Linked DNA regions of Schizosaccharomyces pombe. The gene in region 2 interacts genetically with the main gene of each other region. Each region holds a gene or a part of one and is shown on either strand. Other genes may lie near its edges.

Region 1 (4,637 bases), 2.1 Mb from region 2:
GTTTTTCCCTTTTATTTTTCCCGTTAGCCTTTACTGGAATCAAGGTCGCCCGCCTTCTGCTTTATTTCATTGCTAGTAATGGATGCCATAGCGGCAATTGCCAAAATTTTCTCCTAAAAAAAACTGTTCCTTTTATATAGGATTTGCGCATCATGATTTGCTTTCCCAAAAAACAACGGAATCTGTACGACCTTTTTTGCAGGTATTTGTAAAGGCTTTCCCTTTCTATTGTAAAACTTCATTCGCGTCTCGAATATCATCTTACATATTTTTTCTGATTTATAAAAATATGCACATAATTTCATATTCGACCGCTTTGCATTTCATTATAAGACGCTTCTACTTGAAGAGAGCTATCCTTGTGCACGAATGTTGTTTAATTGTTGCAGGATACAAATTCATGACTGATGTATTTATTCATCTATTTTGTCTTGGTTAGTTAGTTTTGTGATTTCATTGGGATGTTCCCTAATAAAGGAAATTACTCTACCACAGATATACTCGTTCACTAGTAAAAGTAATATTTTTAAGTAATTAGCTGTTCTATTTATATATTTTTCTAGTTGTAGTACGGGTGTATATGCATGCATGTATGTATAACAAAATGTTTCAAGCTGTGAGACTATAAAGCGTGCAAGAAAAGGGAGCACAAAGATCGCCAAATATTATATGCAAAACAGTAAATGAAGGACTAATGCAAATGAGTATTTTTTATGGAAATTAAACGAGCAAACAGAGATTCGACAGTAGCCAGCAAAGCTCAAAAGATAGCAATAGCTAATTTATGTAAAAATGAGAAAACGCAATGAATGATTTGTATGCAAATGTTACCGTAAAAAGGCTCAATAAAACCAGCTGCTGCCAATGTATTAGTTATGGCGATTATCATCAGACTTATGGTCTATAGCAGCAGTTTCATTATAAGAATGATCATGGCGCTTTTTGTTAGAGGTTTGAGAGGATGAAGAGCTACTAACATTGAAAGAACCATTGTCATTAGATGGAACGGTTTGGGCTGGTTGCGGGATGTTGACTGTTGGGTTTGTTGGATGAGAGCGGCGTCGGACTTTCTGACGGAAGTTTAAAACTTCATCTAAAATGACACGGCGTAACTCATTTGCATCCTCAATGTATTCAAAGCTGAAATCAAAGACGGAATCACACACAGGTTCGTCAGAGGGATCATGCCAAACAGCTAAATAGGGATGTTCTAAAGCATCGTCAACCGAAATACGTCTGTTGGGGTCGAAAGCCAAGAGCTTAGCAAGCAGGTCAAGAGCCAAAGGATTGGCTTTAGGAAAATTGGTTTCAAAAGGAATAGGTCTTTGCTTTGGCAAGCTTCGAACATACTCCTGTGCACGGGAACTGCTTATATGAGACAGGGTTTCCTCATCAGGTGTGCCAAGTTGATGCAAAATTAAATTTAACTGATGAACAAAATCTTTTCCCTTAAACAAAGGGGTTCCACCTAATAGCTCTGCCAAAATGCAACCAACACTCCAAACATCAATACCTTTATGATAGCTGCTGAACGAAAGCATAATTTCCGGAGCTCTGTACCAGCGCGTTGCCACATACTCCGTCATAAAACCAGGATTTTCTTCTGGATTTTCAGAACATCCGCGAGCGAGGCCAAAATCGCAAATTTTCAGCTCACAATCAGCGTTAACTAAAAGATTACCTGGCTTTAAGTCACGATGAATAACGTTGGCAGAATGAATATACTTTAAACCACAAAGTATCTGGTAAATGAATGATTGAAAATGCGCATCCGTTAATGGCTGACCGGATTTAATAATAGCATTCAAATCGGCCTCCATCTATTATAATAGTTAGTAAGTAATTATACAAATATTTCCGTGACTAAAACAGACACCATATGTGGATCATCGCGTAACATACCAACTCTTCGTAAATGTAAACTTCATTAAAATTGTATGGATTTATAATGTCGAGATCGTAAATGCAAGTAATCTACCATGTTAGTAAAGTTTATAAAAAATAGGAAAGACATCACTATGCAAATGTAAGACAATGAGCAGTTCAAATTTTTTAATCAACCGAATTCCAAACATTATATCAAGATTTATAAAGGAAATACTTTTCAAGGATGATTAGAACTCATTTCTCATAGAAGACTTTTCATTGTATAAAAATTTGCATTTTCATCAAAATGCACCTCGTTAATACATCCCGGTGATGATGAGTAATCAATCACAGGAAGCCGTTTTTGCATAAAAGACTTACGTTACGATGATTACGAAAATGAATCAGCAGTTTTATCTCTCTCAAAGCTCTTTTTGTAAGAATGGATTTAGAAAACACATTCGTAATTTTTTTTATGGCTACAGCCTCTTGATCTTTGCTAGCCACGTTTCTTGCTGCACAAACAATGCCGTAAGCGCCTTGACCCAACTCCTTCACTACCTAAACTATGTTAGTTTTCCTAAAAGTTCAAGCAGATGCGATTTTCTGTCAAGTAAACAAAATGTTTTGCAAATGCAGCAGTTACCCAAATATCTCATACCTTAAAATTAGGCTCGACATACATCTCCTGGTTAAACACACGGTAAACACGATGTCGACGGTCCATCCTTGCGACTTATAGCATGCAACTTGAATTTTTAGCTGTTTGGCAAAAGGGATGTGGAAAAAACTACAGTACATCACTTGTAGTGATTAACGATGCCTTATATTTCACTATTTGAATGCAAGTCGGTTAGATTTGAAGACTATCAGATGGAATTTATGGTATTAAAGAATATGCATACAAATCTAATAAATATATGAGGAATACTAAAAGAAACTAGGTCCAGAGTTCAAGACTACCAAAAGCGTCAACAATAAGCACTATAGCGTACGGTTGGTACAAGAAGGCCATGTCAACGATGGGGTGCAGACGATTTTCGCTAGGTAGATTCTTTTGCTGTTGAAGGAATAGAAGAGGCCTTGACACTCCCGAAGACTTTGGGCGTACATTCTGTTGTTCAGAGACTTTTTGGTAGATAGGAGGTTTGTTATGTATTAAAGATAGTTTTGAACTCTCGGAGTCGTTGGTCACCGACGAACTAGCAGAGACATTGTGGGGATTCCAAATAAACGCATGAGGGCTTCCAGAAGCGGCAATGAGAAAAAGTGGCTCTCGTTCGACAGAACCTGCAGACGGACCTCTGTACCTATAGATTGGACTAGATATACAAGGCCAAGGAGAGTCGAATTTGGTATTCAAATCTCTTAATCCCATGTCATTGCCAGAATCTATATCAAACTTTTTTTTTTCATTAAAAGCATCAATTCCAACAGATACCGGAATCGGACTGGTGAGTGAAGAATTCCAGTTTTCTAAGAAAACCTCTTCGGTTTTCCCTTTTTCAACGTCAAAATTTACTATGCCTGAAGCGGATCTGTGACTCGCTGGAACTGCATCTTCAAGATTAACTTCTTTATTATCCAAGTTGGTAAGGACGCTAAAACTGATACTGACTGTAGTGCTTCCAAACGAGTTTAACATTCCGTGATTTTCTAAAGGATTGATGGGAATAGTAGAGTTAATTGGCTGAGTACTACTTGAACTTGTACTTGAGCTACCTGGAACCTTGGTAACGGGACTATTGTTATTTCCGGAAGTATACTCATTAACGTTGCTACGTTTTTTGGTAACATCTAAAAGAAGATGCATCTGATCAATCCTGGCTGGCATATGCCAAGAGCATGATAATGTCCCAAAGCGGAGGTCCCAAAGTAAGAGCCATCCTTTGGTAGTCCCAATTAAAGCCCAATTACAACCCTCAGAAACTACTACACTAGTAGCTGACCCACACTGTAATGGTAATTGGTCTGATGACAAAACCCTCATCATTCCCACGTCTAAGTATACGATGCGTGACCATTTTGTAACAACGACTAGACGGATACTCCCGTCGTGAAATGTAGAAGCTTCCATGGAGGTTACAGAATCACTGAAATCCAAATTGGGAATACGACCAGCCGAAATTAGAGTATGCCGCTGATTGTTAACGTCAAGTCTGTGAACTTCCACAGAGCCATCTTGAGTAACAGAAGCAAAAGCGTATGTATTACCTAGAAAGCATCCATTGACCACAGAAAATCTATTCCTCTCGCCATTACGTCGCGTATGCCCATAACTTAATCGGCATTCACATCTCATAGTTGAAATATGACGAACACTTTCAACTAATTGCCATGCTCTTACAACACCGTCAGATCCCAAGGTAACGAAAAAAGATGAATCTGGACTAACCAAAACTTTCTTCGTACCTCCATCAAGAAGGCTTCCTAAATATATCTGAGCAACTCGTGATCCTTCTGGATGCCATTCATGAGTCTGAACTATTTTATTCGCAGCCTTCGCAGACACCTTTGTTCTACGACGCAAAGGTATATTAGAAGCCCAGCTTGGTGAAACAGCAGCACCAACGTTAAGTGTCGAAGCCGCTGCTTCTGCATAAATTTTATTTAAATAATTTAAGACGCATGGATTAGTTCCAGTATACGATGATTTTTTTGCGCCATTTTGCCTCGTGGTAAGCTTTTTCAAATCGATATGAGTAGTAAATGATCTTTGGCTTCGAATACCGGCAACATTAGTTGTATCATTCGTTGAAACCCTAGAAGAG
Region 2 (5,161 bases):
TAAATTTTTATTAGAGGATTTTGGATCTATTTATATGTTTTTTTGGGTTTAATCGCTTCATTTTATTTTTGGGTATCTTGGATAAACATTAGCTGGTTCTTCGATTTGTAAAAACATATATCCTTGAAGTTCGAGCTTCACTATTAATCAAGCATGTTTTCAGTCATTGGAAGAGGAATAAAGTTTTCTTCGAAATCTCATTACTCGGTATCATGCTTTTTGATTGCTACACAAGGAGCGAAGATTCGCCAGATCCACACACATAATACATTTTTTAAGAATTTCTCTTTTGCTAAGCTTGGCCGAAATCAGCGTACTTCTTCCTTAATAAAAATTCACAACTCTTCGACTTCTTTCCCCAAATCTAGGTCCGAGAAAGTGGTTTACACTCCTAGTCTGCCATTGTCGTCCTCCGTCTTAGCATCTTTTTCTTTCTTACCTCATAATATCCTCCAAAACGGCCTTAATACGCTTCATATTTGGAGCGGCCTTCCTTGGTGGGCTTCAATTGCTGCATGTGCTGTTGCTATGAGAATTGCAGTATTTCCTATTATGTTAAAGATGATGAAAACGTCCGCAAAGCTCGCTATCATTAACCCAAAGGTTGCTGAACACATGAGTGTGTTGAGTAAAGCAAAGGCTGAAGGAAACAGCGAATTAATGATGCAAGCTACCACTCAAATCCAAAACCTTTATAAAGTTAACAATGTTAACCCTTTGAATTTGCTTTCTGCTCCTGTATTTCAGGGAATTCTGTTTATTAGCTTTTTTTACGCGTTGAAGACAATGGCGGGTGTACCTGTAGAGGGTTTCACTGATGGTGGTTTTTGGTGGGTTAATGATTTATCCCAGCCTGATCCTCTACACATATTTCCGGTTGCAAACGGCCTTCTTATGCTGCTCAATATAGAGCTTGGTAGCGAAACTGGAAGTAATAAGGTTGCTATGTCTCCCTCAATGAAAAAATTTTTTAGATTTCTTTGCCTTGCCAGTCCACTATTCACTATGAATTTTCCTATGGCAATTTTTATGTATTGGTTTCCTAGCAATGTCTTCAGTGTATTTCAAGGGGCATTTTTGCGTTCATCCACCATAAGGCATAAACTTGGCTTACCAGAAGTCCCATCTGCTATGCCAGTACCGAACGCTCAAAATGAATCGTTTGTTAAGTCATTTACCGATATTGTCCATGGGGTTCAAGAAAAAGGTAAATACCCACAAGCCTCTGAAATACTAGATGCTACACGTTTCCTTAAAACCGATACAAACAATGAGCAAAAACCTACTAATAATAGTACAATTACCAAAGCTACTACGCTATCTGATAATTCTCAAAATGACAAGTCCTCTTCTGTTACCAAACCCACCGAGAAGAAAGATTAAGCTTTTTTGTGTGCTTTGGAATTCTCTTTCTTAGAAGTGTTCCAATGTCCTATTGAGAGCATAAAAGTTTGTAAGATATGGTTAATTTTTTACATTTGTTGCATTATTCATTTCTTTCCTTTGGCTTTATCCCATAATTTTACATATGTTTTAGTTTTTGCATATATCTTCACACTTGCAACACTCTTTTCTATTTCCTTTACTTCTAATAAAATACCCAAATTTACATTTATTTTGCTTATTCTTTCTAAAAATCGCTTTTGTCTAATTCTTTACTACGGAAAGCGATGAGAAATCAAAGAATATTTACAATAACCTAAAATTTGACGTAGCCGTCTAAACAAAAAATAAAATGATTATTAACTCTTAAAGTGTTTTATGGATATTTATTTTATCAATAAAACTATCGTTATTTCAGTTAGGTAATCATGGAATGTAAGTTTCATCAAATCAACTTAGTTTGCTTCTCTCAAAAATGAGCAAGGCAATATAATTAGGAAGGAATTCAGGTAGTATTTGGGTTCCCTTTCTACAAGTTCATTTCTTATTACTAACACGATTGGTTATTAAGATATGTTTGTCTAAGCGGCGATTGTTTGTAAATTTTTAAATATACAGAAGTAAAGATTATGATGAAATATATCTATATTATAAAAAAAAAAAAAAGTACTTAGAATTGTAAACAGATATGTTTTTTGTTCACATGGTTCATTGAGAAAAGCAATTACGAATTTCTTTGCTTTTCGTTAAACCATTTTCCAAAACCGCCGGGACGATGTAAGTATAACAAACCAGAATCTACCAAAACTTTTTGCAAGAATATCTAGCATTTTACCCAGGCTGTATATAGGCTTGCAAAAGTTACTAATATGACTTCGGGTCCTCATAATTTAGAAGACCCAATAGTTCGAGCAATTCGCCAAAAAAATCAAGCTCCTTCTCATGATTTTACAATATTTGTTCAAGAAGATGGCTCTAGTGTTAGCACACTGGATAGAGTAGTGAAAAGTACGGATATTTTTGAAAGAAATTAGTCTTATTAACAATCAAAGATGTTCAAGCACCAGCAACTTATATTCCGACGGACGTGGAGTTTTTTGATATTAATGAACCTGATAAACCTGACTTGCATTTTCTTCGCAATCATTTCATTCGGGAAGGCCGTTTATCTGAGGAACAAACGTTGTATATTATAAAAAAGGCTACAGAAATTTTGAAGTCAGAAGACAACTTGATTGAGGTGGATGCACCTGTCACTGGTATGTTGATTATCACCTTTCATATTTAGGCCCTAATTACTATAAGGTAAAATATTAGAACTTTGAAATGTAATTTATGACTATGTTTTTCCTTCATTTTAATTTGGGTCGATATTTTGTTTGTATTGCAATATTCTTCGGTCTGACAGCTTAGTATGCGGTGACATTCACGGCCAATATTATGATCTTATGAAACTATTTGAAGTTGGAGGTAATCCAGCAAATACCCAATATCTTTTCCTTGGAGATTACGTGGATCGAGGATATTTCTCAATTGAGTGTTTATTGTACTTGTGGGCTTTGAAAATATGGTATCCGAAAACGCTTTGGTTGCTTCGTGGCAATCACGAATGCGCTCATCTTACTGACTATTTTACCTTCAAGTTAGAATGTACTCATAAGTATAATATTAAAGTTTATGAAGCTTGTTTACAATCTTTTAATGCCCTTCCTTTGGCAGCTATTATGAATAAGCAATTTTTATGTGTACATGGTGGATTATCACCCGAACTACATACTTTGAATGATATACGAATGATCAATCGTTTTTGTGAGCCTCCAACTCATGGGTTGATGTGTGATTTACTCTGGTCTGATCCCCTTGAAGATTTTGGATCGGAAAAATCAAACAAGCATTTTATTCATAATAATGTTCGTGGCTGTTCTTACTTTTATAGTTACCAAGCTGTTTGCACCTTCTTAGAAAACAATAATCTCCTCTCCGTTATTCGTGCTCATGAAGCTCAAGATGTGGGCTATCGAATGTATCGCAAAACTAAAACAACCGGGTTTCCATCTTTGATGACCATATTTTCAGCACCCAACTATTTGGATGTTTACAATAATAAAGCTGCTGTTTTGAAATACGAAAATAATGTAATGAATATAAGACAATTTAATTGTTCCCCTCATCCTTACTGGCTTCCTAACTTTATGGATGTTTTTACTTGGAGTCTTCCATTTGTGGGCGAAAAAGTTTCTGAAATGTTGATTTCAATGCTCAATATATGTTCTAAGGAGGAGCTTTATGAAACGGATTTGAAAGAATCGGCTCCGACTCAGCATAAACAGCCTGCTCCATCTGAGAATGAAAATAAAGCCGACCAAGAAATTGATATTGAAGCTCGTAGGCAAATTATTAAAAACAAGATTATGGCTATTGGCCGTATCTCTCGAGTATTCAGTGTGCTTAGAGAAGAACGGGAAAGTGTTTCGGAACTGAAAAACGTGTCAGGTACGCAAAGATTACCTGCGGGTACTTTAATGTTGGGAGCTGAGGGTATCAAAAATGCTATCAATTCCTTCGATGATGCTCGTAAGCTGGATATCCAAAATGAACGTTTACCGCCATCTAATAGCCGTCGACGTTCTACGGATTTAAAGGCTTTCGAAGAAGTAATGAATTCGTCTGAAGATGATACCTCTATCGATCATTTGGTAGAACGCTTTGCAGATAAGAAAAGCTCTTTGTAGATACCAAAACCTGCGCATATTCGTTTTTTAGTTGGAATTTTTCAATGAGCATAAACCTGATCCGAGGTTTTAAGCATACTTACAACAAATATCTAAACACTCAAAATAAAGAAAGCAAATGAGTTTACTTTAGCATAATACAAGATAACCGATGACTAGATACATAAGCATTGCATTTAGATATTCATAATAAACTTTTTGGTATTCATAACTATGAAACCTTTTATAAAACAAGCAAACAAAAGACGACTACTTTTTGCATAATGAAAGATTGTAAAAAGGGGTATTCGCATGGCACGCTCCACCGTAAAAAAGAATGATAATAAATATAGCAACAGATAATTTAAAATATCTAGCTGACTGTTCTCCGAACTTATACTGCAGTAAAGCTGGCAAATATAAGATCATATCCAGGAAAGTCATACACTATAAATTCTTCACGCTTATAAGAGCTAAAAGATTTAAGTTTGGCCGAGAAATGCTTCTCTTGAGACGCACCTTTAGCCTGGAAAAGGGTAAGACAAAATTTGTTTGCACCAAAAGTTTTAACAGTTTTTTCGATTGTTTCAGATATGGATCTTCCGAATTGGAATTGCGAAACATTTGTTTCAAATGAAGCATAAGAACAATGTTCTTGAGGCGTAACATGGATTGTGGCATAGCGGTCCTTGTAAATCATATTCGACGAGAACCCAATTGGCTCAAATTGAAAAGCATCAAGCACTGCTTTTTTATCAGAGGTACTACATAAGTCTCTAACACCCGATTCATCAGCTACATAACTGCCAAGGATGTGACCCCCCGAGAGATTGTTTTTTTCTCGAACATAGTCATCACCTCTAGCGCTCCGAACAACATCCAAGGATGGAGCGTAAAACTGAAGCGAGCGTTCGGGAGACATATCAGTCATGAGTACCTCTAGGGTCTCATCTTCAGGATCAAGGGAATCTTCCAGTAAAGAATAATCATCAGCCAGATCAGAAAACAGATGCCAGTGATTCTTGTTTGTCGGACCCACTACATAAGAGCATCCACTTGGAAAAAAC
Region 3 (5,166 bases), on a different chromosome or scaffold from region 2:
CTTCCCTCATACAATTTTGGCGTTCCAGTTCTATATTCTCTAGCCTCTCTAAAGCATTGCTAATAAGAGAATATTCCCAAAGAATTTGTTGACTATCCGGCTGAGTTTGGGTAATCGGAAGGTTTTGAAATGAAGAAGGGTCAAGCGAAAGATTGAAGCAATACTCAATGAATGCGATATCCATGAATATCGGCATTTTTTCATGACACATTGATTTCGAATAACCCAAATATCGTAAGCAGGCTAATTGGTTAATGATTTTCAAGATTGGCTTTCATACCGTTCACAATGGAAGATTCTTCTCTCTGCATATCATAATGATTTTCCTTGATGAAAAACGTTTCTAGTGTATTCAGCACAGATTGTGAACGAATCTTCTCATTCATTTTATGGAAAAAACTAATCTATACACGAAGGATAAAAGTATAAAAAGTTGGTAAAGTCAATGTAAGTTGGTCTACGAGATAAAATGAATACCATTCCGTAAGAGAAAATAAATCATTTAATAAAGAAATCTAAAAACGAATGGATCGAATAGCTTTGTCTACTGTTATGTTTCTTGGAACATCGTACAGAAGACGAATTTAACTCCTTAAAGAAGTGTATTTTGTTTAATGTTATAAATTATTCCCTTAAACAGTGAACTGCTTTATCCAAAAAAGCGGTAAGCAAAATTTCCAAATGAAAAAAGTATTTGAATGGAAGATCGACTTTGGCGTGACAAAAGAATAAATTTTACTCTCCATTTTAAGTCCTTCATTTTCATAACGCTATGCCAATTACCTTGGATCACGGTGGTGTTTGTGCCTTAAGACATGAAAAGCTTACGAAATAAACATGCTTTAGGCGATTGATCATTTCTTCCAAGATATTTTTCCTTATTCAATCTCAAAAATTACTCTAATTTGTTATTTGCTAGAACTAAATGATCCATCTGATTGAATGTTTTTACTACCCAAGCCTCTTAAGATTCTATCCGAAGTTCTTTATTTACTTGTGCACAAAACCCGAAGGAATGGGAAAAGCAATTATCTATCTAGTAAGACAAAAAACATTAGATACTGTCCTTTGATTATAATTTCAATGGATTCTTAAAGTTGAATATTCAGTGCTAGCTTCTTTATATTATAGACATTCAAAGTAAACTTGAGAACGAAGAAAAGGAATATTGGATATTTCCTTTTTCTTTTTGTTAAATATATATATATATATATATTTTTGGAAAATAAAAATAAATTGATATGTTTGAAATAAACGAAGTATACGTTATGTGTATCTTACTTTAATTTTTTTTAACTTTATTTTATTATTTATTTTTTTTTTAAGGAAATTTCAAATCTTTAGATTTTCAAAATAGCTCAATCATTTGCTGTACTTATCCATGCAAGCTTAATCATTATAAATTGATTAATAGAGGTTCTAAAAAGTAAGCCTTTATAAAATTGGATTTACAGCATCCAGCTCTTCACGCAACACACCCATATCGATGCTTTTGTTTACGTTGAGCAGATTCGTTTTGTTTACATTCAACGAAATCGACGTTGTCAACGACTTCAAACATCGCAAGCTTATGGACTATTCGCAATAATGGAACTGGGTTTCAGAAGTTTTTGGCTTGGTAAATTCGGGATTGCTCCTTTCCCATACAGAAAGCGATAATTTTATCCATTTACTGCCATTAGTGCGAATTATTGGAGAATGTGCCGGACAATTCGGTGAACTCCGGTGACTTTATATATCTAGGGAAGAAACTGGTAGAAACAACACTTCGCTGGTATCAAGTGTTTTGCGGTGAAAGAGTTGATAAAAAAGAGAATTAAGCTGCTCTTTTCGGTAAATTAAAACATTTTGAATAACTTGGGAAAAAACTTGCTTTTGTAGGAACTGAAAAACGACGAAATTGACGTCTTCAAATTGTTTGTTAAAAAACGGAATCAAAAATTGTGTTTGGAGTCCATTGGCGAGTAAATTTTTAACTCTTCATATATGTTTGTAGGAAACACTAATGAAAATTGATTCAAACGGCATAGTGAATCCGCATTCTATAACGAACGAAATCCCTTCGTATGATGAAAAGCAGGCTGTCGATTTGAATGGGAATGCTTTTGCTCCAAATGGTACGTTTCAAAAAAAGGATTTGATATCCCATAAAAACGATTTCGAACGTACGATGCGCCACGATGTTCTTCATACCAACCCCAAAATCGAAGTTCGGTCGGAGACCCATATTTATGAACCTAACGATTCATTATTTAAGGAAAATCAAGATTTCCCCTCAAATCCCACTGCCCACTCTCCTTCTTCCTCTTCTAACGATTCGGTAATTACGGCTACTGGCGTACCTGATGGTATCTTGAGAGATTCTCCCATCGTAAGTGCCCTCGAGCCTCCTTCCTCCAATTCTTCCTCTTCTCCCCAATTACAAAATTTAAAGCATCAATTATCCTCTCCTCAACCTTCTCGCGCCCCCATAGATCGCTCTTCCTCCAACCCTGTAACCTCATCTCAGCAGCCACCTAATGATCGTTCCACGCTCAGCTCCTCGCAGAAGGCGAAGCGGCCGCTAAAGCGATCTTACTCCGAAAAAAATTCTAGCAACGCTGAACCTTCTGGCTCGAGATCCGGCGACCGAGGTACCAACGTCAGTACCTCGGGTTCTCTTTTGGATGGCATTCCCCCCGATATTGGCTCTGCTAGCTGGGCTGAAGCAGTCAAACAAAAACGTGTTAACATGCGCCGTCGCAGGGAAGAACTGGACGATGAGTGCGTTCTCGTTGGAACTAGAGTTTCAGAGGGCCATGAAAACTATGTTACAGCGTACAACATGCTTACTGGAATTCGCGTCGGTGTTTCTCGTTGCCAAGCGAAAATGGACCGTGAGCTTACTCCTGCTGATTTTACTGCTCGTCACAAGTTTACCTTTGACATTACTGGCAACGAACTCACTCCCTCCGCCAAGTATGATTTTAAGTTCAAAGATTATGCACCTTGGGTATTTAGACATCTAAGGCAGCTGTTTCATTTAGATGCTGCAGATTATCTTGTATCTCTTACCAGTAAGTACATTTTGTCTGAGTTAGATTCTCCTGGGAAAAGTGGTTCTTTTTTTTATTTTTCTCGTGACTATCGATTCATTATTAAAACAATCCATCACTCTGAGCACAAATTTTTGCGTGAAATTCTTTATGATTACTACGAACACGTCAAGAATAATCCGAACACATTGATTTCGCAATTTTATGGGTTGCATAGGGTAAAATTACCCTTTGGCCGAAAAATCCATTTTGTTGTAATGAACAACCTTTTCCCACCTCATCGTGATATCCACCAAACTTTTGATCTCAAAGGATCCACCCTAGGAAGGGAACTCGACGAAAATCAACCTTGTCAAAGTCCCATGTGTACAATGAAAGATACAAATTGGATTCGCAGAAATATGCATCTTCAGTTTGGTCCTTTAAAGCGTCAGATATTCTTAACTCAGGTCAAAGCCGATATTGATATGCTGTCCTCTTTAGGAATTATGGATTACAGTTTACTTGTCGGCATCCATGACCTTTCACGTGGTAATCGTGACAAAATTCGTAATAGCATTCTGTCAGTTTACGACCCAAATGTGTCGCAACATCGAGTGCCCTCGATTAATGGCAATGAATCTCACTCAAACGTTCATGTAATCAGACAAGTCGTTAATAGCACCGGTCCTGTTTCGTTGGATCAATCTTGTAATCTATTGCCGACCGACCAGTTCGTTGAGTAAGTGCTTATTATTTTTTTAACAATTAGACTATTTTTTAACACTATTTTAGGAGAAGAAACTTCATGTTCTACAGTGATGACGGTGGATTCCAAGCCACCGATGAAAACAATGAGCCAGGAAACTTTATCTTTTATATCGGAATAATTGACTTACTTACTAAGGTATGATAAATTGCGTAAATTTTTTTATGGGAATGCAAAGTCTTTTACTTGTTTTCCTTGTTTGCTTTTATTTTCATTATACTTACCGGTGTTTAGTATTCATATGTTAAGCGCGTTGAGCATTTATGGAAGGGCATTAATCATTCAGATTCTGTCATTTCTGCTGTTCCACCTGCTGAATACGCTTCACGCTTCTACAAATTTGTAGAGTCAAGTATTAAGCCAACTCTTTTAGTTTTGAAACCATTCCCCTTAAAACCGCAGGATGGCCAGCGTGTTAACAAACAGCAAAGCGTTAATGCTGGCAATGTGCGCACTAATAACAAGCATGGTTCTCTTAATAATAATACAGCTCCTTCTTCTCGCAATGCTAAAAGCACTTCTGCTCATAAATCACCCAAAACAGAACACCGATTTCCATTCCCATGCCGCAATGTTACTACGAACACTTCTTCATCTTAATAAATTTTAATGTCTTTGAAGTGCACATATTTCAAGTTTAATGCATTTATTTATAATGCTTTACCACCTTTTTATTCTTGTATATATTGGCTAATTTATCTTTTTATTTTAGAGAAAAAACAAAGCAAAGCATGTATGCCGAAGTGCATTAACGGATGCACAACCTATAACTTATTGCTCTAATTAGCGCTTTTATTATTTACATCTCAAATAACTTATGTTCGTCAGTTCCTCACCAATCTTTGTCAAAAAGCTATATTATTATGATATAACTTAAAATTCATTAGGAAGAAAGTATGCTTTTGTAACGAGTAAACGTATGTACTTAGAAAAGAGCGATTCATAGTAGTGGAAGTAGTTCAATTACGAAGACCTCTCAACTAAACATAAATAACTAGAGCATAAATTAATTTAAAGGCTGAACTAAGATCCAGGATTGTGTGTCTCAATAAATAAATCTTTGTAAAGAACAAGATGAATCGGGCATCTTCGTTGAAATAGTTAGTTTGTCATTCAGTTAGTAAAATTTGCCAAATCAGCAAGGATATCAATAACATTTGCAGGGTCTGCGATACACCAGTCGGCGATAGAAAGCTTTTTGTCGGATCCAATGGTAACTGCAAATGAAGTTTCCTTGTTAATACGAGTGTTTTTATGCAAAGAGCGGAACATATCTTCATCAGTTCTATCATCACCTGCACAAAAGATAAAAGAAGGAAGTGAATCTTCTGGATACGAACTTAAAATCTGTTTGACAATTCCTCCTTTGTTGATACTGGAAGG

Evidence for each region.
Region 1: of ppb1 (region 2) and pmk1, a mutation in one rescues a mutant of the other (synthetic rescue), as found in Schizosaccharomyces pombe (4 studies listed by BioGRID).
Region 3: mutations in ppb1 (region 2) and its3 are lethal when combined (synthetic lethality), as found in Schizosaccharomyces pombe (2 studies listed by BioGRID).

Annotation. Positions count from the first base shown.
Region 1 is NC_003423.3:728,816-733,452, reverse strand, and holds pmk1 (MAP kinase Pmk1), read right to left. Parts: upstream 2,638-4,637; 5' UTR 2,594-2,637; coding exon 2,528-2,593; exon of another isoform or gene 2,428-2,527; coding exon 2,248-2,427; intron 1,975-2,247; coding exon 1,903-1,974; intron 1,821-1,902; coding exon 870-1,820; 3' UTR 501-869; downstream 1-500. Other genes in the region: serine/threonine protein kinase Vps15, read right to left, coding at 2,807-4,637. UniProt on the Schizosaccharomyces pombe protein: Regulates cell integrity and functions coordinately with the protein kinase C pathway (pck1 and pck2). Involved the regulation of wall architecture, cell shape, cytokinesis in exponential and stationary phase, and metabolism of ions.
Region 2 is NC_003423.3:2,871,745-2,876,905, forward strand, and holds ppb1 (calcium-dependent serine/threonine protein phosphatase calcineurin catalytic subunit Ppb1), read left to right. Parts: upstream 1-2,177; 5' UTR 2,178-2,252; coding exon 2,253-2,391; exon of another isoform or gene 2,392-2,435; coding exon 2,436-2,642; exon of another isoform or gene 2,643-2,796; coding exon 2,797-4,115; 3' UTR 4,116-4,365; downstream 4,366-5,161. Other genes in the region: oxa102 (translocase Oxa101), read left to right, coding at 154-1,383; S-adenosylmethionine decarboxylase proenzyme Spe2, read right to left, coding at 4,489-5,161. UniProt on the Schizosaccharomyces pombe protein: Calcium-dependent, calmodulin-stimulated protein phosphatase. This subunit may have a role in the calmodulin activation of calcineurin. Appears to be involved in cytokinesis, mating, transport, nuclear and spindle pole body positioning, and cell shape.
Region 3 is NC_003424.3:4,070,371-4,075,536, forward strand, and holds its3 (1-phosphatidylinositol-4-phosphate 5-kinase Its3), read left to right. Parts: upstream 1-1,765; 5' UTR 1,766-2,005; coding exon 2,006-3,756; exon of another isoform or gene 3,757-3,809; coding exon 3,810-3,921; exon of another isoform or gene 3,922-3,924; intron 3,925-4,017; coding exon 4,018-4,383; 3' UTR 4,384-4,666; downstream 4,667-5,166. Other genes in the region: protein Poz1, read right to left, coding at 1-243, 281-386; trehalose-6-phosphate phosphatase Tpp1, read right to left, coding at 4,897-5,166. UniProt on the Schizosaccharomyces pombe protein: Catalyzes the phosphorylation of phosphatidylinositol 4-phosphate on the fifth hydroxyl of the myo-inositol ring, to form phosphatidylinositol 4,5-bisphosphate. Involved, together with the calcineurin ppb1, in cytokinesis.